3 linked regions of the Saccharomyces cerevisiae S288C genome follow. Changing the gene in region 3 together with the main gene of any one other region gives a genetic interaction. Each region holds a gene or a part of one and is shown on either strand. Other genes may lie near its edges.

The links. A genetic interaction does not mean that the proteins touch.
Region 1: mutations in EMI1 (region 3) and MTC3 together harm fitness more than expected from each alone (negative genetic interaction), as found in Saccharomyces cerevisiae (2 studies listed by BioGRID).
Region 2: mutations in EMI1 (region 3) and PSR1 together harm fitness more than expected from each alone (negative genetic interaction), as found in Saccharomyces cerevisiae (2 studies listed by BioGRID).

Annotation. Positions count from the first base shown.
Region 1 is NC_001139.9:68,670-76,523, reverse strand, and holds MTC3 (Mtc3p), read right to left. Parts: upstream 3,185-7,854; coding exon 2,813-3,184; downstream 1-2,812. Other genes in the region: OST5 (dolichyl-diphosphooligosaccharide--protein glycotransferase subunit), read left to right, coding at 3,366-3,386, 3,536-3,775; glucose-induced degradation complex subunit VID30, read right to left, coding at 3,977-6,853; SHE10 (She10p), read right to left, coding at 7,193-7,854. UniProt on the Saccharomyces cerevisiae protein: May be involved in telomere capping.
Region 2 is NC_001144.5:126,518-135,228, forward strand, and holds PSR1 (phosphatase), read right to left. Parts: upstream 4,097-8,711; coding exon 2,813-4,096; downstream 1-2,812. Other genes in the region: YEH1 (sterol esterase), read left to right, coding at 1-738; rRNA-processing protein SOF1, read left to right, coding at 1,006-2,475; copper metallochaperone COX17, read right to left, coding at 4,688-4,897; DRS1 (putative ATP-dependent RNA helicase), read left to right, coding at 5,212-7,470; LMO1 (Lmo1p), read right to left, coding at 7,785-8,711. UniProt on the Saccharomyces cerevisiae protein: Has phosphatase activity in vitro. Involved in the response to sodium and lithium ion stress (but not to potassium or sorbitol stress) by inducing transcription of the sodium pump ENA1/PMR2.
Region 3 is NC_001136.10:1,470,000-1,477,945, reverse strand, and holds EMI1 (Emi1p), read left to right. Parts: upstream 1-6,882; coding exon 6,883-7,446; downstream 7,447-7,946. Other genes in the region: GRH1 (Grh1p), read right to left, coding at 1-707; EMI2 (putative glucokinase), read left to right, coding at 1,470-2,972; SLF1 (Slf1p), read right to left, coding at 3,174-4,517; YDR514C (uncharacterized protein), read left to right, coding at 4,947-6,398; dithiol glutaredoxin GRX2, read right to left, coding at 6,498-6,929; SDH7 (Sdh7p), read right to left, coding at 7,528-7,929. UniProt on the Saccharomyces cerevisiae protein: Involved in sporulation. Required for the full activation of the early meiotic inducer IME1.

The DNA of each region.
Region 1 (7,854 bases), on a different chromosome or scaffold from region 3:
TGTTCCTACATCTATATACCACCATGCCACTTTGTACCACCAGTCATATATTTTCTTCTACTCATAAGGGAGCCGCATATATATATGGCGCACATTGCCATGGTCCATTACAAGCTTTTTTCTCGTAGCACTTTAGAATGTCTATTGAGTTGCAATATTCAGGCAAAAATGCGTTCTATCTTCAGAATGTAGCTGTTGAAATTGTTGTTTGACTTTTTTTGGACTAGTAGCCGTCTTATCGAACCAAATAGAAGCATATGTTACCTCATTATTCTCTCAATATGGTATTGGAGCGGGTGTGGGTGTGTTCCTTTTGTTCTTAAACGATAGGTACGCATTAAACACCGCTTATGCAGATGGTACATCATATACTGCTTATACCCTTTCCTACTTCAGATGAATATGCAAAACATGTACCGCAATGATGCGAGAGTAACTTTAACAAGAGCTCTTTCGCGTGTGTAGCGATAATATTCAGGGGCGACAAGTGTAGTAATGAAGATATAGTTCTCACCGGTACCTAGATGTCACTACTCGGACACCAGATTACTGTAGCAAGCAAGGTCAATGTCGAGACTAAGCATGATCATAAGTATTGGCGCCCGACATTGCATTTTTTTCCTTGAGATCATATCACAGTGCATGCCATCACAAATAGTTACTTTGATTATTTCAGTGCCATCGCATGACTTCAGTTTTATTACACCTTTAATGATGTAAAAGCGCCGTCAAGATACTAATATAGACGCACGAGTTTCGTTCGCGCGTCTTGGTGAGATTGAAAAGTTATTTTGCCTTTCTTGTCGAGATGATGGTATTTCCCTTTTTTATTTAACATTCATTAATTCCTACCTGTAGTTATCAACCTTTACAGCAACGCAAGTGAAGTGGCTTACTATATAAGCGTAACTCCAATGTGCTTGGTTAGTTTTGGAAAATTTCAAGGCGTTGTTGCAGAATTGTACCTTTAAACATGTCTACAACAACTATGTGGATGTAGCATCTCTATCATGACGCAAACGCAAACATCTCTCTCTCTCTCTCTCTCTAAGTCGCATGTTAAGGCCGATAGTACTGGTTTAACAGGGTTTGCCAAGGCCTCAATCGTTAAGTTAGCTTCTCCACTTTCCCCAGCATCAATCTTATGGTATGATCAACAATCTACGAGGAATTGCAGAAATGATACCTGTATCACAAAGGAATTTGCGTATCATAGCGTCAACTGGAACCATGGATGGAGCTGAGAATTTATTCCTCATAAACGAATTCAAGTTTCTTTCGCTCTGCCAACACAAAAATTTCAATTTCTGTCCTACTTATGTCCTATGAGAGCCATAATTTACACCTCACGTACATAGTTGCGGTAATATGATAAGTACACTTTTTCTGTGCTTCATTATCGTAGCGATAGGTATACCACTCATCGTAAGTGTGGACGTAGCGATGGAGGTTTCTGTGCCATTACCACCACAACCATTCTACTCTTGTAGTGATGCCGCCAACGTGGAATTATGTGGTATCGTTGTTATCTGCCGTTGACTACCCTCGGTCCAACCAACGTAAAGGCCAATCTCACTTTCTAAGAAGGTCTTATCAGGGTTGATACGGACAAACTCTTCATAGCCTACGTCGAAATCAAATTCTGCTGAAGCTGTGATTGTAATCAAACCTAAAATGGTAATTACTGCTCGAAAAAAAAGTAGAGAAATTCATGGTTGACGCTCAAGTTCAGGGATCTGAGAAAATCTTTTATTCGTACGTCCCATGTGCTCGGTCATACTATGGCTGCTATATATACAACATGGTTGTGGAGAATTTACGCAGGATGTGCCTACTACCTTGGGAGCTACTAATGTCGTATATTTCAAGTGTCTGCATGAAGACTGCATTATAGTCCCTTCAGAGTTTTCTTTGATCGTTTACAATGATCATGGTGAAAGGATTATTTCTGTTATAGCTGGCACACGACAGTCACCTATATGGTAGTTACTAACTAAATATTGCTCAAAGTCAATTCCCAACAATGGGAAGCATGCTGCGATTTTAACAAAGAAGCAGCAGTACCCAGATACGGAACTGGATTAGACAGAGGAGGAAAATCATAAGGTACACAAAATTTTTTGGGCTTTAATTTCTCAAAATGTTTGCCGGTAAACCTGTACATTCTTTTTTCACCATCAGTCTATCTTGTAATTAAGTCTTTCATGTAGTATTGAATCTGCAATATTTTTTAACCAACTATCAATTTTCGTGTCAACAAATTACTCTTTACCATGTAGACAGCTACTGATTCAGGCGCACATGAAGACCTATTCGCTTATTTAACAAATATTAGCGTATTTTTTGAGACTATTAACGTGTGTAGACCTCCAGAGGCTGCACTCTAAAAGCCCCCAGGGATATGTCTATACTGTCCTTTGAGAGTTATACGTATGAAAAATAGTAAGGAGACGTCTCTAAGCGTATTTAGAATATACGCTAAGAGTGACTAATGTAGGTAAGTGCGCAGTAATGGCTGGTAAACTTTTTTTTATACTAGTGCCATGTTGTACTGAACTTCAATTTTACAACTAAACTATGAAGCAAGTATCTTATCTTGGGGTTGTATATTTCAATTAAGTGGTTTCGTGGTCTAGTCGGTTATGGCATCTGCTTAACACGCAGAACGTCCCCAGTTCGATCCTGGGCGAAATCATTATTTTTTTGAATTTTTATATTAGTTTATTTACAGGGATAGATAATGAATGATAAAAAATGAATAGAACGTACTCTGCGCAAGCGCATATATATATATACTATTGTTGCTTCCAATTTATACAAGATCCCTTAATTGTTCCTCTAGCTTTTTATCTTGTTTCCAATTATAAAATGCAGTCGCTGCACCGCCAAATAAAACAAGGTTGAACACTATCCGCATTCCCGTGTACCCTACGTTCCATTCGTTGCCCTTGGATCTGCCACCACAGGGTCCATAAGATAAGAAATACGCTGCTTTGGTCTCCTCCAGCGGTATATGTCTCCAATCTTCTTGCATCCTCCATCGTAAGTATTCCTTGATTTCATCCCTAACTTCAGGTCGTAGAGTGGGCCATAACTTCGTTATATTCGTAATCTCTACTACCGGTGGCTGATAAGTGCTGAAAGATCTTTTCAGTGCTAGCCGAATACCGTTTCGTCCCATCATCTTCTGCCTTATTTCTACCTATGTTGAAATGATATCTTTTGGGTGGTCTTCTCTTTTCTTTGACGCGAAATTTGAAATTGCAAATACTTTTCGAAGAAGGATGCAAGTACACATAAAACGTATACTGTAAATAGGCAAAACATAAGCAGTGAGAGATATCCCTGCATATTCAAGGTTTACAATGACTTATGAACAATTATACGTACGTTGCCTGTAACGCTGGTTGATGCTATTCTTTTGATGTTTTTAACAACACACAGGACAATGAATAGTTCCCTTCCTGTTTTCTAATTCATAATTACTAACAAGTATAGCCAATTCGCCTTCTCGGCATTTGTGTAATCACTTAAGAAAGAGTTCCATTCCTCAAAGAGCTTCCAGCCATTTATCCACTTAGACACTCAACCAAAATTTGCAATTTGTGGTTTAATCGTTACATTAGCTGTATTATCATCTGCCCTGTTCGCCGTCGGTTCTAAATCTTCATACATTAAGAAACTCTTCTTCTACACAATTTTAAGTGTAATTGGCAGCTTGTTTGCTGGCTTGACCACTGTTTTTGCTTCGAATTCTTTCGGTGTCTACGTCTAGTGGCTCTTCGTTGGCCTATAAAGGAATTATCGATGAAATTATATACTATACTTAAGAAGTATTTTGGATGAGAATATTAAAAAGAAAGGTGTCAAGTAAATTTCATTATATAAACGGTTTAAGACATATTAATATGCGATTTTTGGGAAGATAATGACTGATATCACATGGCTTTGTTGTTTGAAGGTGCTTGTTTTATGCTCATAAATTCAACACATCTTCGTCGAAGTTAATAGCTTTGTAATATCTTGGATCTGAAGAGTTGGTTGAACCGAACGCGTTATACTCAAGTAATGTAGAAAGCATAGCTCTAGTGTTTGATATTACATTCTCTAATGCGCATTCGCTATCCTTATGTAAAAATGTTAGTATTGTGTTGTTACTAACTTGAAATAATCTCTCTTGTAAGTATTCGTCACTCAAATATCCTGATATCTCCTTTGGTGCCTCCACAAGTGGATTGGAATATGCTAACAATGCAGAGACATTACTCAATTGTCCACTAAACCTATCCCTCAAAGATTGTGGAATTTTAGTATCGTAGATAAATTCATTAGATAATTCTTGACCCTTCAAAATTAAATTTTCAATTTCGTCATCATCTTTGGATGAACTCTTTTTAATCATCACCAGATAATTCGCTAGTTTTAACTCAAATACCAATTCTAGATTATTTTTTAACAGATCTGGAATTTCGTTATCGATATAATTGATGCATTTGCTAATTTGACCTTTGTTTATCAAGTATCTTAATTCTTGCCTTATCTTTACCATACGTTCTTCTTTCATGATCTGTCTTTCATTGTGCCTGATAACATCTTTACTTTCAGAATGTTGCCCATTGACATTAACCGCATCTTTTTGCAAATCTTTCAAAAACCCCTTTGCAACATCCACCAATCCTTCGTGGATCAAATAATCATTTATCATCACGTTTAATGTATTAGGCAATGAACCGTCATCCACGCTTAAGTTGTTAATATTGTTCACGTCTGGTCTAACTAGCTTTCCATCTATAAACCTATTATCTTCTCCCAAAAGAAACTTCAGATTGTTGTCCTTCTCATCGTTAAGCTTCTTTGTATCCTTATTACCAGCGGCACCATCCTCTTGATCAATATCCATCAAATCTTCATTAACGTTTGTTGATTTATTTTCTTCAGGCCCATTTTCAGTTTCATCTTCCTCACTTTCATCAGAGTCGAATTCTTCAATTGAAACGTCCATTTGGCGTCCACGACAAATATGCTCATACGCCAAACTCTTCCATTTATCTTGATATCCAATAATGTCAAATACAAAATCCTCATTTAACCCAAAATTTGTTTTGATAGAATTCCCAGGTCGTAAGGCCACATATGGGACGAATTCTAGATCATTCAAGTCGGTGAATGCGTTACCTAAATGGATACCATTCTTCGTGAAAAAAATTGAGCCATCGATAAAATTTATGCCACAACCAATAACGTCATCCCTACCAAAAGGCTTAGCATATTCCTTAGATTGTTCTGTAGAATTAGTTATCAAACCGTCAAATCCGCAATAGCCAAATACATTAAGATCAAATCCGTATTTCTGACACTTATTTATGGAACCATCCACGTTAAGAGACATGGCTGAAACGCCCCCTTCATAAATATAATCACGCCTTTGAGTACCTTCCATAGTGAAAGAAGTAGAAGGTACTCTATTGGAACTCATGTTATTACTACCACCTAAGCTACTACTAGAACCGGCCACGCTTGAACGAGAAACACTCTTTTTTGTAGTCGCTTCCATTAATTCATTCTCTACTAACTTGTATCCGATAACAATGTTACTATTTTCAGCACTCTCTGTACTCGTTACACTGAGAACTTTAATCTCGTAATAGAATATAGTTAACTTATTGTCTGGCAATGACTTATTTGCCCAAGTGACTGCAAAGTCCACTTTCCCAGAGTTCTCAAAAGAGGTTCTCAGTCTATTTCTGGTAGAGGCAGAAGAAGCGCTTGATCTTTCATAAGTCATGTATGAGTGATAATCAGGATTAGGTTGTAAATGAGTAATACCATCTTGAGATAGCTGCAAGCTGTTATTTGGTTGAGCTTGCCATCTAGAAGGTAAAAAGTACCCAAGTATTTTGTAAATATCAGGGATCATTGAGTTTTTCTTTTTGCTACCACTGTTGGACAAAACATTTGTTGCCTCATTGTCATTTTTGTCGTTACCAGACGATACTCTAGGAGAAGAAAAGGAAGAACTTGGAGACTGATCAGGGGGGTAGTATTGTAGACCACTGTTCTTGTCAGATGTATCCCACAAATTCCTTGATTCTGTTTCTATATTAATAGCTGATCTAGATCTTTGATATATCCATGGGTCCGCAACCCTTTCGGCACGCTGCTGTGCACTGGACACATCAGCATCAGCTCCTCTACTTCCTTCTTCTCCACCTTCCTCGTGATTGTCAGAGCCATCTCCTTCGTTGTTATCGTCCGTGTCAGTATCCACTTCCCCTTCTAAGCTTTCCAGATCGGATTCATCGTCGTCGTCGTCATCGTCATCGTCATCATCGTCATCATCATCATCGTCATCATCATCGTCATTTCTGTCATTTTCCAGGCTGGTATTAGAGTTAAGCGCCATTTCACGTTCGGATAAAACGGGTTCTAATAGTTCCTGAGCATTTTTCCTCATGTCTGAGGAAGCTTTCATAACTCGCACTGAATTTTTATTTGAATCTTTAACACCAAATCTCAAAGTAAAATCATTAACGTCTGGATAGAAATATTTATAGACTTGAATCAGGTAATCGTCGTTGACAGCTTCAAACGAAATTGTGCCTAGAACACCCAAATTCATCAATTTAGACCAGATTTCTTTCCTTGTTAAAGCAGTTAACTTTGTCCTGCCCATTCCAACGCCAGTGGGATTTTCATCAGCGTTGATTAAGTTAGTGTTCTTCAGTTTGTGAAAGAGTTTTCTATGTTGCAAATATAAAATCCATAAATCATAAGCCACAGGCTGTTGCAGCAAGTAGCTCGGGAACAAACAGTTAATGAATTCGCGGTCTACGTCATCCATATATTCAGACATTTCCTCTTAATTATGCTGAAATTCGACGCTTGGCTTTAACGTACTACTAATATTTCTGCTATAACAGTAACAGTTCTGGTCCAATCCTTTGGCTCTTTCTTTTGGTTGATCGATTCATCAGTTCCCTCCCCTGAAAGGCTCGCGCGTCCTGTAATCTAGCAAAAATAGGCAGGATACAAAATACAGTGGAGTGGTAATATTATATTCTTATATGGCTATATATGTTTATATATAAAGGTAAAGACAAACAATAAAGAACATACATATATATATAGATAGATATTGTGTGTGTGTGTGTGTGTGTGTGTGTGTGTGTGTATAGCAAGCGCATGAATTTCATCACAATGTCATGGTAATGGTTGTGGTGATGGTCGAAGTAGAGGTGTAGGATACGTCTTCTTCGTCTTCTTCTTCCTGTTGTCGTAATAGCTCCTGCTGCCTTTGGAACTCTTCTGCTGCAGCTTTTTCACGCTCTTTTCTTTCACGTTCCTTTCTTTCACGTTCCTGAAATTGCAGGTTGGCTTTCGATCTTAGAATATACAAAAACTCACCACTCTCTTGAGTGAACGATAATATCTTCTTTTGCACTTTTTGCCTAAACGCGTTAACACGGGATAAGTCAGCGGAATGGTGAGCCAGCTTGTCTCTAGATTCTATGATCTGTTTCTTGCCCTTCAAAAACTTCTTCCAGTTAACAGAAGACTTTGCTTTCTCTTCATCAAGCGTAGTGTCATCATCTGCACCCATGTGAGCGTTGATAACATCCACATAAGCCATTCTTTTGGACCATTCATTTACAATGATATCACCCCATTCTTCAAATACCTCGACGTTTTCCTCTCTAATTGCATTAACTTTTTTTTCAATTTCATCAGTGATTTCGCTCAAATCTTTCTCCATAGCATTTGTCAGTTCGTCTAACGTCGAGCGCGTCTCGTTGAAGTACTCACGAACTAACTCTCTCGTTATGTACTGAGAAATCTCAGTACTTCCAGATTTAT
Region 2 (8,711 bases), on a different chromosome or scaffold from region 3:
GATAAGTTTTTCCCTCCCGGTTCGGGATCTAAAGAATCTTTTTTCACTTCTAAGATCGCAAACTATATTGCCTTGGCCCCCGCAGTGTATCCTGGTCCCTTACTTAACGAGAAATTGTTTGTTAAGCTTATGACAAAGGAAATCGAAAATCCCTGGTTCTTTGGTGAAACGAGCTTTTTTGAGATAATGATGATTGTAAGAAACTTGTGCGTTGGTGAGAGCTTGTTCTCCTTTGTTTGTTACACCATCTTCAATTACCTGTTTGATTGGAACGATACCCTTTGGGATACCGCATTAAGAGATCGCCATTTCCTGTTTTCGCCAGTCCATGTTTCAGTGAAGTTGATGCAATGGTGGCTGTCACCCGACCCCAACAAGGTAAGTTTTAAATTTGGTTCCCATAAGATGTTCCCCGACAATGTTAAGTGGTTTTCAGACGCATCAAAGGCCCCAAATATCTACTTGTTTGTTCCAAAGCAAGATAGATTGGTGGACGGAGAAAGACTAATCAATCATTTCGTCAATGTGGAGTCGAATGTCAACTACAAGATCTGGTACATTGATGAGTATGCCCATATTGATGTCCTATGGGCACATGATGTCATAGAGAGAATTGGTAAACCAATTTTACAGAATTTGAACAACTATTACTCCAAGAAGCCATCCAGCGCCTTTGAAAGTGATTGTTCGGACACAGAGGTGGAAACGGAGCTGGAAATGGTTGCTGAGAAGGCTTGAAGAGGAAGCATGATATATAGGTTAATATAAATTATACTTGGGAATACATAGATAGAGGGCTAGTAAATTTTTAGTTTTTAATTGTTCTTTTTTTTTGAAGTATTGTGTCACAAATTGTCGGGAGTTGGGACATCACCGTGCATAACGATACATTTTTTTGAAAAATTTGATATTGAAAAAAAATCGATGAGTTTGAATTACATTACAGTTGTATAAAGCAACCGCATTTCATTAACGTAGTTTGACTCGCGAAGATAAGGCGTTAAAATGAAGATTAAGACCATTAAAAGAAGTGCTGATGACTATGTCCCTGTTAAAAGTACGCAGGAATCTCAAATGCCCAGGAATTTGAACCCTGAATTGCATCCTTTTGAAAGGGCACGTGAATATACTAAAGCTTTGAATGCCACCAAATTGGAAAGAATGTTTGCTAAACCCTTTGTGGGTCAGTTAGGATACGGTCATAGAGATGGTGTTTATGCTATTGCCAAAAATTATGGTAGTCTGAATAAATTGGCTACTGGTTCTGCAGATGGTGTGATTAAATACTGGAACATGTCTACTAGAGAAGAATTTGTTTCCTTTAAGGCGCATTATGGACTCGTTACTGGTCTTTGTGTGACACAGCCTCGTTTTCATGACAAGAAGCCAGATTTGAAGAGCCAAAATTTTATGTTATCTTGCAGTGATGACAAAACTGTCAAGCTATGGTCAATAAATGTTGATGATTACTCCAATAAAAACTCCAGTGATAACGACTCCGTTACTAACGAGGAAGGTTTGATTCGTACTTTTGACGGTGAATCTGCATTTCAAGGTATCGATTCGCACAGAGAAAACTCCACGTTTGCCACAGGTGGGGCCAAGATCCATCTTTGGGACGTTAACAGATTGAAGCCAGTTTCCGATCTATCATGGGGAGCAGACAACATTACTAGTTTAAAATTCAATCAAAATGAAACAGATATCTTGGCCAGTACTGGTAGTGATAATTCTATTGTTCTTTACGACTTGAGAACCAACTCCCCCACACAAAAGATTGTTCAAACAATGAGGACGAATGCTATTTGCTGGAATCCAATGGAGGCCTTCAACTTTGTAACTGCCAATGAAGATCATAACGCCTACTATTATGATATGAGGAATTTATCACGTTCATTGAATGTATTCAAAGATCACGTCAGCGCAGTAATGGATGTTGACTTTTCTCCTACGGGGGATGAGATTGTTACTGGTTCGTACGATAAGAGTATCAGAATATATAAGACGAATCACGGACATTCGAGAGAAATTTATCATACGAAGAGAATGCAGCATGTTTTCCAGGTTAAATATTCCATGGATTCTAAATATATTATCAGTGGATCTGATGATGGGAATGTTAGGCTATGGAGAAGTAAAGCTTGGGAGAGGTCTAATGTCAAAACTACTCGTGAAAAGAATAAATTAGAATATGACGAAAAATTAAAAGAAAGATTTAGACATATGCCGGAGATCAAAAGAATCAGTAGACATAGACACGTGCCACAAGTCATCAAAAAGGCTCAGGAAATTAAGAACATTGAGTTGAGTTCTATTAAGAGAAGAGAAGCTAATGAAAGGCGTACTAGAAAGGATATGCCATACATTTCCGAAAGGAAGAAACAAATCGTTGGTACCGTGCACAAATATGAAGATTCAGGAAGAGATAGGAAAAGAAGAAAGGAAGATGACAAACGTGATACTCAAGAAAAGTAGTTATTCTGTTTTATGTTGTCTGTATATACACATATGTACAATATTTGCATTTTTTTAATTTTTAATTCACATGTATTTGATAAATGTTCACGCCAGTCCCGTTAAATTAAAATTACCATTTTATTAGATTATGAATTTATATATGAATACATTGTGTCGTAATGGTAGAAGAAGTTGAAAAAAAAAATGTCAAGGGACAGCATGGGTACAGTGTGTTGAGCCAAAAAAAAAAAGAAAAAAAAAGAAAAAACTTTTTGTTCTCTGGTTCTTTTCTTCATCTTCTTCATCTTCATTCTTTGGTAGCGGGGGCCACAAGAAATTCGGGCGAAAGTGCTCATTATATTGTTACATCCAAAATTTTGCCCACATCCAGTGAGGTTTTCACAGAAAGGTCTTCTAAAAGAGGAATAATATCTAATAATTCGTTATCATGAGTATCTGAGAACCAGGACGAAATCGGTATTGCATGTTGGGGATGAAAAATATAAGATGCCGGAGAGTTATCGAGAATGATGATATCTGATAACGGCCTTCCAATCTGGGATAAGTTTTTTATATAGTTTCCTTCATAGTTATAGCAAGCCTCTCTGAATAATCTGTGATGAATGACTTTATCTGTGTCTAATATATCAAGCAAAGGATCACCGTATCGAGAGACACTAGCCGTGAAGACTACAACCTCGAATAATTTTCCGACTCTTTCCAAAAATTCTTCCACACCAGGTCTTTTAATGACATAGACATTGTGTACTTGGTCATCTATTTCCACAGACAAAACAAAATCCGCAGATCGTAAGTATTTGAAAGAAGAGTGTACCAAGGTTTCATCCAGGTCCAGTATTAGGCATTTCTTGCCCTTTGTACTTTCATCTTGTGGGGGGAGCAGAGTGTTGTAACCTGGTGCATGATACTGGCCCTGCTGCAAAAGCGTTAGATCAATATATTCTTCATCTTCATCGTCTTCGTCGTCGGCATCGTTGGAAGTTTCACTGGCTTGAGAGCTGCTACTTACCCTACTCAAATTCATATCTTGGATAAGATGGTCAGACGATACTTGTACAGTAGGCCCTCGCTGCTGCGACTGCGACTGCGACTGTGACTGTGACTGTGACTGGGGTTGTGGTTGTGGTTGTGACTGTTGTTGTTGTTGCTGCTGTTGTTTTTTCTGCCTGGAAGTATCTTTCACAGCATCTCCTTTTTCCTGTACAATGCCACGACTGCGACGGTTATCTTCATCGTCGATCTCTTCATCTTCGTCAACCTCGTATTTTTCCTCGTAAAGATCATCTTTACTAATTCGCTTCTCTACTTTTGTCATATTATTAGTAGTAGTGGCGGTGACGGCTGCAGTCGGCGACGATGGCTTCTTTTTTTCATTATCGTTCGTGCTTATCCCAGATTTACCGGTGGATCGTTCAGTGGAACTGAAAGTAGCGGCTGAATTTGTCTTAGAAGGAGGAGAGTTTGTCTGATGTACGCCACGGGTTCGGCTTTTCGTGTTGGAATGTTTAACGCTTCTGTTTTTATTGAGAGAACTGCTCTGTTGTTGGCGATAAGCAGAATTGGAATTGGATTGTGTCGTCTCGGAAGAGCAGCACAGTATTGACGATATGAAACCCATACTGTTTTGCTACTTATTGTTGTTAAAGCTTACGAACACGAATGTAGGCAAATAAAAAGCTTGGATAAACGCACAATGAAAGGGGAAGTGCGATTGATTATGCTATAAGGAATGACACGAAGAGAGCAGACTATAGGCTAGGCAGGCGATAAAGGAAGGAGTTGTACTTGACGACAACGTAATAAAGAGTTCAATGAAAGAGTATTGTGAGCAGTATGGTTCAACGAGCACTTCTTCTCGACACCTATTTCTATACTTTTTCACTTAATATACACTAACTAATCCCAGACTTTTTTTTTTTTCCGTTCTTTCCAGAAAAAAAAGAAACAAAGCAAGCGTGCCCTGACTTAGGGTTTCCTAAAAAAGTTATTAGGTTTGTGTCACGTGATACGTCCTTTTCTGGTCACGTGGTCTTAGAACACTCTTAAGGGGCCAAGCACAAGAGGACAGTGCTAGCAGTAGAAGTGGTGTAGTAGTGATGAGGTAATGTTAATTGTGCATCGCACATATTTACAGGTAGTATATACTATAGTTTGTGAATACCTATTCTTATATATACAAGAAATGGTTGTCGGCAGACTGTCAGTAAGACTAATTTGCACTTGGAACTTCGAAGCCATAACCCTTCATGCACTCTTTGTACTTTTCAATGAATTCCTTGCATTTTTCAGAGTCTTGTCCATTGAATAAGATGCATGTATCCCGCTCCTCCTTTTCTGGCTTACAAACGCAACATGGCTTAGGTTTGTCCTCGCACTCCGCGTGGTTTTCTTGTTCTTGTTTCTTGTCAGTTTCAGTCATTGGGTATAATTGATTGTGTAGTTATCTGATTGTGTACACTAAAATTTTGTTTAGTTGTACTAGAGACAAGTAGTTAGGTGGTTACTAGATTCTGATTCGCCGCTATATATCGTCATTTTATCTTTTTTTGAAGGAGATAGGTAGGGTTATAACATTATCCGGGTAATGATTTGAAAAAAAATTTTCAAAAAATGCGATGAGATGAGGTTGAAAATTGTAAGTTAGAATATGCTTAGATAGTATGAGTATTTACGTTGGTAACTTGGGTTTCGAATTGGAGCTGTGTGCCTACAACAGCGTCTTATATATATACTATGGTGGTAGGAACTAAAAAATACTCTAATTTGGACTTTGTCCCTACAATCAGTGACAGTGAAGACGATGTTCCAATTCTAGATTCTTCTGATGACGAAAAAGTCGAGGCTAAGAAGACTACGAAGAAGCGGAAGGGTAAGAATAACAAGAAAAAGGTTAGTGAGGGGGATAACCTCGATGAGGATGTTCATGAGGACTTGGACGCGGGGTTTAAGTTTGATTTGGACGCCGATGATACCACTTCGAACTTCCAAGGCTGGAACTTTCTAGCAGAGGGCGAGTCCAATAAGGACGATGCCGAAGCTTTTGTGAAGAAGGACGTTGACTTGGATAAGATTATTAGAAGAAAAGGTGGGCTGGTGAAAATGGCCCATATTGATAGTAAACAAGAAGAAGAAACCGAGAAAGAAAAAGTAGAAAAAGAAAACGATAGCGACGATGAGGAATTAGCAATGGACGGGTTCGGTATGGGAGCTCCCATGAACAATGGAGACGAAAATCAGTCAGAAGAAGAAGAAGAAGAGGAGGAAAAGGAAGAGGAAGAGGAGGAAGAGGAGGAACAAGAAGAGATGACGTTAGAAAAAGGCGGCAAAGATGACGAAATAGATGAAGAAGACGATTCTGAAGAGGCAAAAGCCGATTTCTATGCGCCTGAAACTGAGGGAGATGAAGCTAAAAAGCAAATGTACGAAAATTTCAACAGTTTGTCTTTATCTCGTCCGGTTCTTAAGGGCCTTGCAAGTTTGGGTTACGTCAAGCCTTCCCCTATTCAAAGCGCCACAATCCCCATTGCCTTATTGGGTAAAGACATCATTGCCGGTGCTGTGACTGGTTCCGGTAAGACTGCTGCGTTTATGATTCCCATAATCGAGCGTTTGTTGTATAAACCAGCCAAAATCGCTTCCACCAGAGTTATTGTTCTATTGCCCACTCGTGAGTTAGCTATCCAAGTCGCTGACGTTGGTAAACAAATTGCACGTTTCGTCTCCGGTATAACCTTTGGTCTGGCCGTTGGTGGTTTGAACTTGAGACAACAAGAACAAATGTTGAAATCTCGTCCGGACATCGTCATTGCTACCCCAGGTAGATTCATTGATCATATCAGGAACTCAGCAAGTTTTAATGTGGACTCAGTAGAGATTCTGGTTATGGATGAAGCCGATAGAATGTTAGAAGAAGGTTTTCAAGATGAACTGAACGAAATTATGGGCCTATTACCAAGCAATAGACAGAACCTATTGTTTTCTGCTACAATGAACTCCAAAATTAAAAGTTTAGTTAGTCTTTCTCTAAAAAAACCAGTAAGGATTATGATTGATCCTCCAAAGAAAGCTGCTACTAAGTTGACACAAGAATTCGTTCGTATTCGTAAAAGAGACCATTTGAAGCCTGCCTTGTTATTTAATTTGATTAGGAAATTGGATCCAACGGGTCAAAAGAGGATTGTCGTTTTTGTGGCTAGAAAAGAAACTGCTCATAGGTTAAGGATTATCATGGGTCTTTTAGGTATGAGTGTGGGTGAATTACACGGTTCTTTAACCCAAGAACAGCGTTTAGATTCCGTTAATAAATTCAAAAATTTGGAAGTTCCTGTACTTATCTGTACGGATTTGGCCTCCAGAGGTCTTGATATCCCCAAGATTGAGGTTGTTATCAACTACGATATGCCCAAGAGTTATGAGATCTACCTGCATAGAGTTGGTCGTACCGCCAGAGCTGGTAGGGAAGGTCGTTCCGTCACCTTCGTCGGTGAATCATCTCAAGATAGAAGTATTGTACGTGCTGCTATAAAGAGTGTAGAAGAAAATAAGTCCCTAACTCAAGGTAAAGCACTTGGTAGAAACGTAGACTGGGTTCAAATCGAAGAAACAAACAAACTTGTTGAATCCATGAACGATACGATTGAAGATATTCTGGTGGAAGAAAAGGAGGAGAAGGAAATATTAAGGGCTGAAATGCAATTAAGAAAGGGTGAAAATATGTTGAAGCATAAAAAGGAAATCCAGGCAAGACCAAGAAGGACATGGTTCCAAAGCGAATCAGATAAGAAAAATTCCAAAGTATTAGGTGCTTTATCAAGGAACAAGAAAGTCACTAACAGCAAAAAGAGAAAGCGTGAAGAAGCTAAGGCAGATGGCAATGGTGCACGTTCTTATAGAAAAACCAAAACCGACCGTATTGCAGATCAAGAAAGAACTTTTAAAAAGCAGAAGAGTACAAATTCAAATAAGAAGAAGGGCTTCAAAAGCCGTAGGTAATAATTTTCATCGTCATTATCATAAAATATCAACATACTTATCACTGTCATTATATTATTAATACTTTGTATTTAAATATCATTAATTCATCTAATAAACAGGGGATTAGTCAAAAATTCCTTTTTTTTTGTTGAATCTGTAGAAGTGAGTATTAATAAACTGCAAGCTATATGCTATATTAAAAGGATTTTTCAAGTACAAACGAACTGAATGGAGACTCAAGCTACTTGCGGGAAAGAATTACAAAATTACATTCCATTCTAGTAAAAAAAAGTTATAAATAAAAAAAAATCGTCTGACGACAAATTTGTATCTTAATCAAAATAAAAATTTTGGGTTACTTTCTTTAACGTTTCCAAGTTATAAAATTCTTCATCTTCGTCCTCGTCGCTTGGTTCAGGTGGAGGCACTATGATGTCCTGACGAACGTTCAAATTTATCATCTGAACATTTTTCCTCAAATCAAATAAAGTGTCTATTTGTTCTTTCGTGTCTTCTGATATATCTTCATGCTGGAATGGAGATATCAATTTCAATCCGTCTAGCCATATATATCTTCCCTCTTCTGTGTCTAAATAAAATTTCAAAACTGTCCTGTCGTTACGATCTTTTAATTCAACTCCAGTGTACACATTGGCTTCATCTAATTTGATGTAAACATTACTGCTCGTCCGACGACTCGGTGTAGTAAGTTCTATGCTTTTGAAAGAGGTTATATGTTTCAAAACAACAACTTTTGTTCTGCCATTAGCTAATGCCTCAGAACCTGGACTTGTTAAAATTTTATTGTCGAATAGATAAGGTAAATCGTTTGTTTGTGTTTCGAATTCTCTGGCTAATAAATTTGCGTGGTTATCTGAAACTATGAGGAAGTAGACTTTAGGCGTGCCAGCTTCAGGATTCAGTGGGTTCTCTGCGTAAACCCACGTTCCCTTTTGCAATTGAAGAAGTCTTTGATGACGAACGTAATCACGAACCTGGCCTGATAGCATGGTATCGAAGCTAGCGATACTAGATGACCAGGTTCGATACTGTTCTTTTTTGATTGAGTCTAATTGTAATGTTCTTGCAAATTTATATCTCATAGAGTCAAGTGCAACAACTTGGGTCTTGAGAAGGGATTTCGTCTGTATTGCTGCTTCCAAATCACTGGATGACAAACAAACATATTTTAAAGTGATAATAGCTAAATTTAACAGTGAAACCAAATCACTTTGCGATTTTGCTAATGATTCTATCCA
Region 3 (7,946 bases):
GATCTAACAATATCTTGTAAAAGCGTCTCCCCTCCCGTGGCCAACAGGCCATCTTGGCAGCCGATAATGTAGTCTTCATCTGGGATGAGCCCTGCCGATTGGGCGGGTCCATCTGGGATGTTCACGTTCAGGATATGGTATGTGAAAGTGGAAGCTATCAAAGGCGTCCATTGGACTTTGAACCCGAGTGCTTGGAACTGGTGCGCTTCCCCACTAGATGGCCTCCTCTCGTCATGGTTTAGAGAAACATCGTCCAAATCGTCGCTCTCCTTCGATATAATGCTGATATACTCGTCTCTGAACGTGCCTCCTTTAGCTGACCATATGTTGACCTTCAAAGTTCGGCCACAGTGTTCATTGAAGATGGATGTGATACGACGGTAATCTGGGTACGAAAATCCGTGTTGATTACTGACCACCGGCACCGGATCATCATTGAAACCTACTATATAGTCGAAAAAGGACTGCAGTTGGAACTGCATCTCGTCCACCCAAACAATGCGGAGACCGGAAAGCGTTTCATTGACGTTGGTGTGCTTAACACCTTCAGAAACCGCATCTACGGGTGATTCCAACTGAGCAGACAACAAATTTGGTGGTATAGACTGAAAGAAAGCGTCCAGATTGCTCGAGTCCTGCGAGAGTGCCAGGGTATCTTGCACGCTCTGCTCAAAAGTCCGTACGAGGTTTTTAGCTATTCTAAACATAGTTCTTCTTCCTATACCTTTTTACTTCCCTAGTTTCGCACGCTGTGTCGGTCGCAGTTACAGTAGTAGTCTCAGCACCCCTGTTCTTGGTCCTGATCCCGTTGCGACAAGCCCATTTCTTTTATGATAGCCAAAATGCAACTAAACCTCGTCGTCGTCGGCTTGCGTGTCCGCCGCGAAGACAGAAAAATAACGAAACGAACTTAATAGAAACGACCTAGATTTTATTTGGAAGCCAGCCCGATGCTATCTTCAAAATGGCTGTCACTGGGTGCAAAGGCGGTGGGAGAGCCCATTAAGTAATTTAATCGGGTTGTCTCACCAATGTTAGCCACAACGCAACGCTACGTCGCCACTCTGGCAGCCACCGCAACGAGCAGTAGCAACTACTTTCGGGTGGGCCCTTCAGGGGTAGTTGCCTGCGTCTTTGTTCGAAGAATCAAGTGACAAAAAACGCGGGGCATCCAGAAAGTCTTTTTGTGTGTGTCGTCGAAAGGGAAAGTGAGAGAGTGAGAGTGAATTAGTGTTTGTGTGTGTGGAAGACAGAGGAAGAAGATCGGGTCGTCGAATTCTATTATGCTTGCGATGCAGGGGGGGGAAACATGTATTCGGGATTATATAAAGTCGATTCTGTGTAAGTGTAAAATCTCATCTTGTCTCGTGTTCTTTTGTACGTCTCATACTTATAGGAAGTTTAAATAGAAACAGATATCAGTGTATCAAGGAAGAATTGTACAAGAATCGAATCATAGATACACAGTAATGTCATTTGAAAATTTACATAAAGTCAATGCTGAGGCATTGGAAGATGCAGTGGTTGAGATCTGCTCCTCATTGCAGGTTGATGCAGCAAAGTTGGACGAACTAACAGCGTACTTCATTGAATGTATGGAAAAGGGGTTGAATAACACCTCTGTAGGCGAAGAAAAGACGGTGGACAAGGGTCTACCCATGATCCCTACATATGTAACCAGTTTGCCCAATGGGACGGAACGTGGTGTTTTGCTGGCTGCAGATTTAGGTGGGACTCACTTCAGAGTGTGTTCTGTGACTTTGAATGGTGACGGAACCTTTGATATGCAGCAATTGAAGTCTAAGATTCCGGAAGAATATCTAAATGACAAGGATGTCACCAGCGAGGAGCTGTTTAGCTACCTGGGTCGCCGTACAAGGGCCTTCGTTAGGAAGCATCATCCTGAGTTGTTGAAGTCCACGGGGGAGAACATAAAACCTTTGAAAATGGGATTTACCTTCTCATATCCCGTTGACCAAACCTCTTTGAGTTCCGGTACTTTAATCAGATGGACCAAAAGCTTCAAGATTGAAGACACGGTCGGCAAGGATGTCGTGAGGTTATACCAGGAGCAATTAGACATTCAGGGGCTCTCTATGATTAATGTGGTAGCTTTGACCAACGACACGGTTGGCACTTTCCTATCCCACTGCTACACTTCAGGCTCTCGTCCATCGAGTGCTGGTGAGATTAGCGAGCCTGTCATTGGTTGTATCTTTGGTACTGGTACTAACGGTTGCTATATGGAGGATATTGAAAACATCAAGAAGCTACCAGATGAGCTCAGAACAAGACTGCTGCATGAAGGAAAAACCCAAATGTGCATCAACATCGAATGGGGTTCTTTCGACAATGAATTGAAACATTTGTCTGCTACAAAGTATGACATCGATATTGACCAAAAATTTTCTCCAAATCCAGGTTACCATCTATTTGAAAAAAGAATTTCCGGCATGTACTTGGGTGAGCTGTTAAGGAACATCCTGGTGGACTTGCATGCAAGGGGCTTAATCTTGGGACAGTATCGTAATTACGATCAATTACCTCACCGTTTAAAGACTCCTTTCCAATTGTGCAGTGAAGTTCTTTCCAGGATTGAAATCGATGATTCGACAAACTTGCGTGAAACTGAATTGTCGTTTTTGCAGAGTTTGAGGCTACCGACCACTTTTGAAGAACGTAAAGCAATTCAAAATCTGGTCCGTTCCATTACGAGAAGGTCTGCATATCTAGCAGCCGTTCCGATTGCCGCCATCCTAATCAAGACAAACGCTTTGAACAAAAGATATCACGGTGAGGTAGAAATTGGTTTTGACGGTTATGTCATCGAATACTATCCTGGATTCAGATCCATGCTGAGACATGCTTTGGCATTAAGTCCAATTGGCACTGAGGGTGAACGTAAGATACATTTGCGTCTAGCCAAAGATGGGTCCGGTGTTGGCGCAGCTTTGTGTGCTCTGGTGGCATAAAACATATCTGTTCTTAACAGCTTATTTTTAGTTTGTTTTCGTTTTCCTCTATATAAATATCTTATGTATCTGTTATATAAAAAATTATTTAGTACGAATTGAAATGAAATGTTATGTTATATTTTTAGAGAGAATCTGCTATTACTTTATACATGTTAACTATATACATAATAAAAAAAAAAAAAAAAATATTGTCTAAAATTAATCATTTATTTGTAAGTTTTGTTCAAACTGCCTGCTAATTTCACCTTGGTCATAGCTCTGACTCTTTTTCCCATTTTCATTACTGGGAAAGAAGTTTGGATAGCCCATATAAGAATAATTGTCTAAATCGTTCGGTCCCAATAGTTTCTCAATGTTGTATTTTTCAGTTTCGTCATCATTTTCATCAAAATTACTTTCCATAGCGTATTCAGCCCAATTTTCGCGCCTAATAAAATAGTTTTCCAATGGATTGAAATCATCTGCCATGTTCTTCTGAGCACCTTCTATGCTTCCAAGGGCAATTTCCAAATGGTTTGTTTCTTTATGTTGTAAAACTTCTCTCATAGATGCCAAAATTAAATTTGGGTCTCCACCAAGAGATAAATTAACCATACGGTAAAATTTCCCTATCAAACTCATGGGGATAAATCCGTCATTGGCTTTTTTGAATTTAGATCTTAAAAATTCATCTGTTTTCAAGTTCTCTTCACTAAAATAGAATTCAATTTGGTTTTTGATACTTTCGATAGATTTAAAAATAGGTTCCATTGAGTAATAATATGGTGTTTGCAATTGTTGTTGATAGTTGATGTTATTATAATACTGCTGTTGACGGAAGTATGACAGTTGTTTATAGCTATTTCTTGAATTGTTGTTCAACCAGTGGCTGGCATTGGGAATATATTCAGGTCTAGCCTGATAATTATTTGGGAAGGAGATGGCATTATTAGCCGCCTGACTGTGTCTACTATTGTTGTTGTATCTTGTTTTGCCATTCCTGTTTTGATAATTTCTTGATTGTCTACCGTTGGTTGAATTGTTGTTGTTTGTTATCCTCTTTATATTCCCATTGGCAGTTGCTCCTGAGCTTGAATGTATGTTTACTTTAGCGTTAGCATCTAAAGGTTTGGATTCAAGATTGGAAACGTTACTTATTTCCGATGTACTGTTGGTTTGACCGTTAAAGTCCTTTTTATTGATATCGTTATTATATTTGCCACGCTTTTTCATTTTTTTATTAGTCTTAGAATTTTTAGAGTTCTTTCCTGACTTTGAATTTGTGTCCTTGGAACCTGAGATTATAACAGACGGCGTAATTGGAGTCCATTTGGTATTGCTTGTTAATTTAATTGACCCCGAACCATTTTTACTTGGCTTTGCAGTCTTTGATATATCTCTTAGTTCCTCTACAGGAATTACTGTATTGCTATCTGGCGAAGATGATTTCCATGGCGATGTGGTTGGTATTGGTGCCAACTTTAAGGATGAAGTTTGTTTCTTCTTATCTTCAGCTGCTGAGGATGTATTTTTTGGATTATCATTGAGGTTTTGCGATGACATTTTTGAATTCACTTTATGATTGATTTTCTTTATCTTGGTTATATTTTTGGGCTCTCTCGTTTATTTAACGCCACCCTAAATTGTGTCTTAACAATACGCTTCCTCTCAGTATTTTTTTTTAAATAAAAAAATATGATAGAACTGCTGAACACTACTTTTTAAAACCTTTTAATAAATAGACAAGTGTCAACCAAGGATGTGCCAATTTTCCTTTGTGATTCAGCTGCGCTTGTATGTGCTTCCAGCTTTACTTTTACTAATTTTTTCATAAGCACAAAATAGTAAGATCTTTTTTCTCTTGGCGGTGAAAAATTTTGATTCGATGGATCAATAACATACTGCAAAAAACGGTTTGAGGACATATGAATACTGCATTTACTAGTAATTTGCCTAGTATATAGTTTGACTACACAGATTATAAGCTATTGTATGAGTAGCTCCACAAAGTGCAAGAAAGCATACGAAGCGGTAGTCAAAATGGTTACGCATAGATTCAACTCCAAAGCAGTCCGCAATTACCATCAACCACAAGGTTTAAACAGGAGTCTGGCAACCCGCAATGCAGCTAGAGTTAGGGGTATGGTCCCTTCAAGAAGAGGGGGCGTGGGACTGTATAAGAGTTCAAGTAGCAAGTTGATGAATAAACTAGGAAGACAAAAGACATGGATAAATGAGTTTGAACATTTTAATTCTCTGCACGAAATTGCATATACCCCTAACATTGCGTTAAGTAGTGAAATCCAAAAATATTTAAAGGCATTGGAAACAAACTATCGGTCCATCTATGAGAAAAGTTCAGAATTACTGGATAAGAAGCTGGAAGAAATTGACAAGAAATGGATAGAGAAAAACGGGTGTATACCTGATGCATCTAAAGACGATGTGGAGAAAAATCTAAGAAAGCAATATTTAGCAGATGTACAGGACGTAAAAAACGAACATATACCTGTGATGAATTGTGAACCTGGTGGGTCTCAGTTCAAGTATCTCTGTAAAACTATTGAGTTATTATCATCCAACAAGACAATTTGTTTTGCCATCGATGTAGAGGCATTTGAATTTGATACAGACATTGTTACAGAGATTGGCATCGCCATATATGATCCAAGAGAAAACATTTATTCCTTGATGCCGATTATAAGAAGTTATCATTTAATTGTTGCTGAAGCGTTACCGTTAAGAAACAAGAAATTCGTATGCGACTTTAAAGACTGCTTTTTACTTGGAGAAAGTCTTGTATTACCATTGGAACAATGTGTAGAGTTCATTCAGTCGTTGATTAATTTCTATATGAAATGTGAGACGGACCAAGATACAACCTGGGAAAGAGCGTTTGTGGGTCATGCTATAGCGGGGGATATTAAGTGGCTGAAGAAAATTGGGGTCCATGTACCTGAATTGGATAATGAACTTACCAAACCGGAGGACTCAACGGAGAGCAAAGGTGTTAGAAAACATGTTAAGATGCTTGACACAGAGAAAATTTATAGCATGTGTTATGGCAAGAAGGGTAGCAGTTTAGGTAAACTACTAAGGCTTTTTCACTTGCCACATGCCTTCTTACATAACGCAGGCAATGATGCATATTACACGTTGCTCCTGATGCTGAAGTTAGGAGATTATAACTTTAGAAAGCAAATTGGGGCAGATGATTTAGAAACAATGGGATATAGGATAAGAGAATGGTTTAAGCGTGAGGCGGACGAACCCAAAATTTTGCCAATGTCGTACGTGCTAAGTGTGATGAATGCCAATAATAGCAAACCGAAAGTTGATGATAAGGGAAGAAAGAAGCCGAGGGATCTTGTACCTCAGACGGAATTTAGCGGGTCTCATTGGTTTCAAAATGCACGCGCAGCCTTCAAAAGTACTCTTGTGTGAATCTAGCTAGAAGTTTTGTAGGTATATGTGATTTAAGATATAGATAATAAAAGATATATATATGTAAATATTATGAAGGGGATATTAGCGTAATTTAAACTATTGAAATACCGGCTTCAATATTTCAGCTAACTTGCCATTTTTCTTCAAAGTTTCCAAATCGCTGTTACCACCAATGTGCTTGCCATTGATGTATACGTTAGGTACAGTTTTTTGGCCCGAGATTTCTTCTAAAGCGTCTTGAATCTCTGAGCCATTGCTCATTTCATCTAATTCCAACACAAGGGCCTTGGATTTGGGAACGTTCAATTCTTGGAAGAGGGTAGACAAAGTAGCTTTACAGTAAGGGCAGTATGTCTTTGCTGCAACAAACACTTCCTTTTGGCCAATCAGATCCTTTACGTGAGCAACTGTTTCCTGGGATACCATTTTTGGAGTAGATAAAAATCTTTTAGCAATAATTCTTGTGGCAAACAACGTGATAATGATAATAACAATTAAATTCGAGTCGAAGGAAAAATTGGTCTCCATGAAACAATATATAACAGTAGTTGGAGTGTCCGTTAATCAAGAGGGCACCTTTTCTTGGCGTCCTGGGACTTTTTATATGAAAATTCATGAAGAAAGTGCGGCGGGCCCCTTTGCGAAGGGGGCCGAAATATCGGATCTTAGTAATAGTTCTGCTATTGGATGTGGTATTAGCATAAATCAAGAGGGAGGCGATGGTTCTATTAGGGTAAAAGAGAGCAGCTTGAGGAAGAAACAGGAAAGGATGAGTACAAAATATCCGACAACGATGAGTTGCCGAGAGGCATTTGATCAACTGACGAGTTGCTATTCGATTGGAGGGCAATTTAGAAGCTATTACAGATATGGAGATTTTACATCATGTGACAAGCAGGTGTCCAAATTCAAGTTTTGTATTATCCACGGCAATGACCCTGTGAAAGTGCAGGAATGGTATAAAGATCAGGTTTCCAACAATAAGGCATTGGAAAATACCAGTGGGGTTATATGGCAGGAGAGGGAGACCACTGCAAATAAGTGAGATTTTTAGCTTTTTTTTTTTAGCATGTGTACTATATAGTATATGGATTTCTTATTTACAAGCGCAATAAAAAGACGAACACTAATCCTTGTTGTTCCGCTTCACGTCCTTACTTGATTCTATTTCATTGTCTTGGTGAAGTTTCTGTGTTTCCTTCATCAATTCATACAGTTGAACTGTTTGCTCAGGGGATAGTTTCTCCAGGGTTTCCGAAGATAAAGTGGCATCTTTCCATTTACCGTTGGAAATCATGTGGAGATAATCTTGCCAGGAAGCTAAAAAGCCGACTATATGCAACGGGTTATCGATATCTTTGTGCAACTTGAACTCGTTTCGCACGTATTGGTCACCCATCTCCCTTTGGGGACCAGGTAGCAGCTTATGCTGCCTTAGTATCCTTCTGTAGAGAACCAAAGGTGGAAGTAAAAGCTGGCTGTTATGGGTTGCAAATCTAACCGAACGATATATGAGCTTGTTGTTCATGGTGAATGAAGACGGGA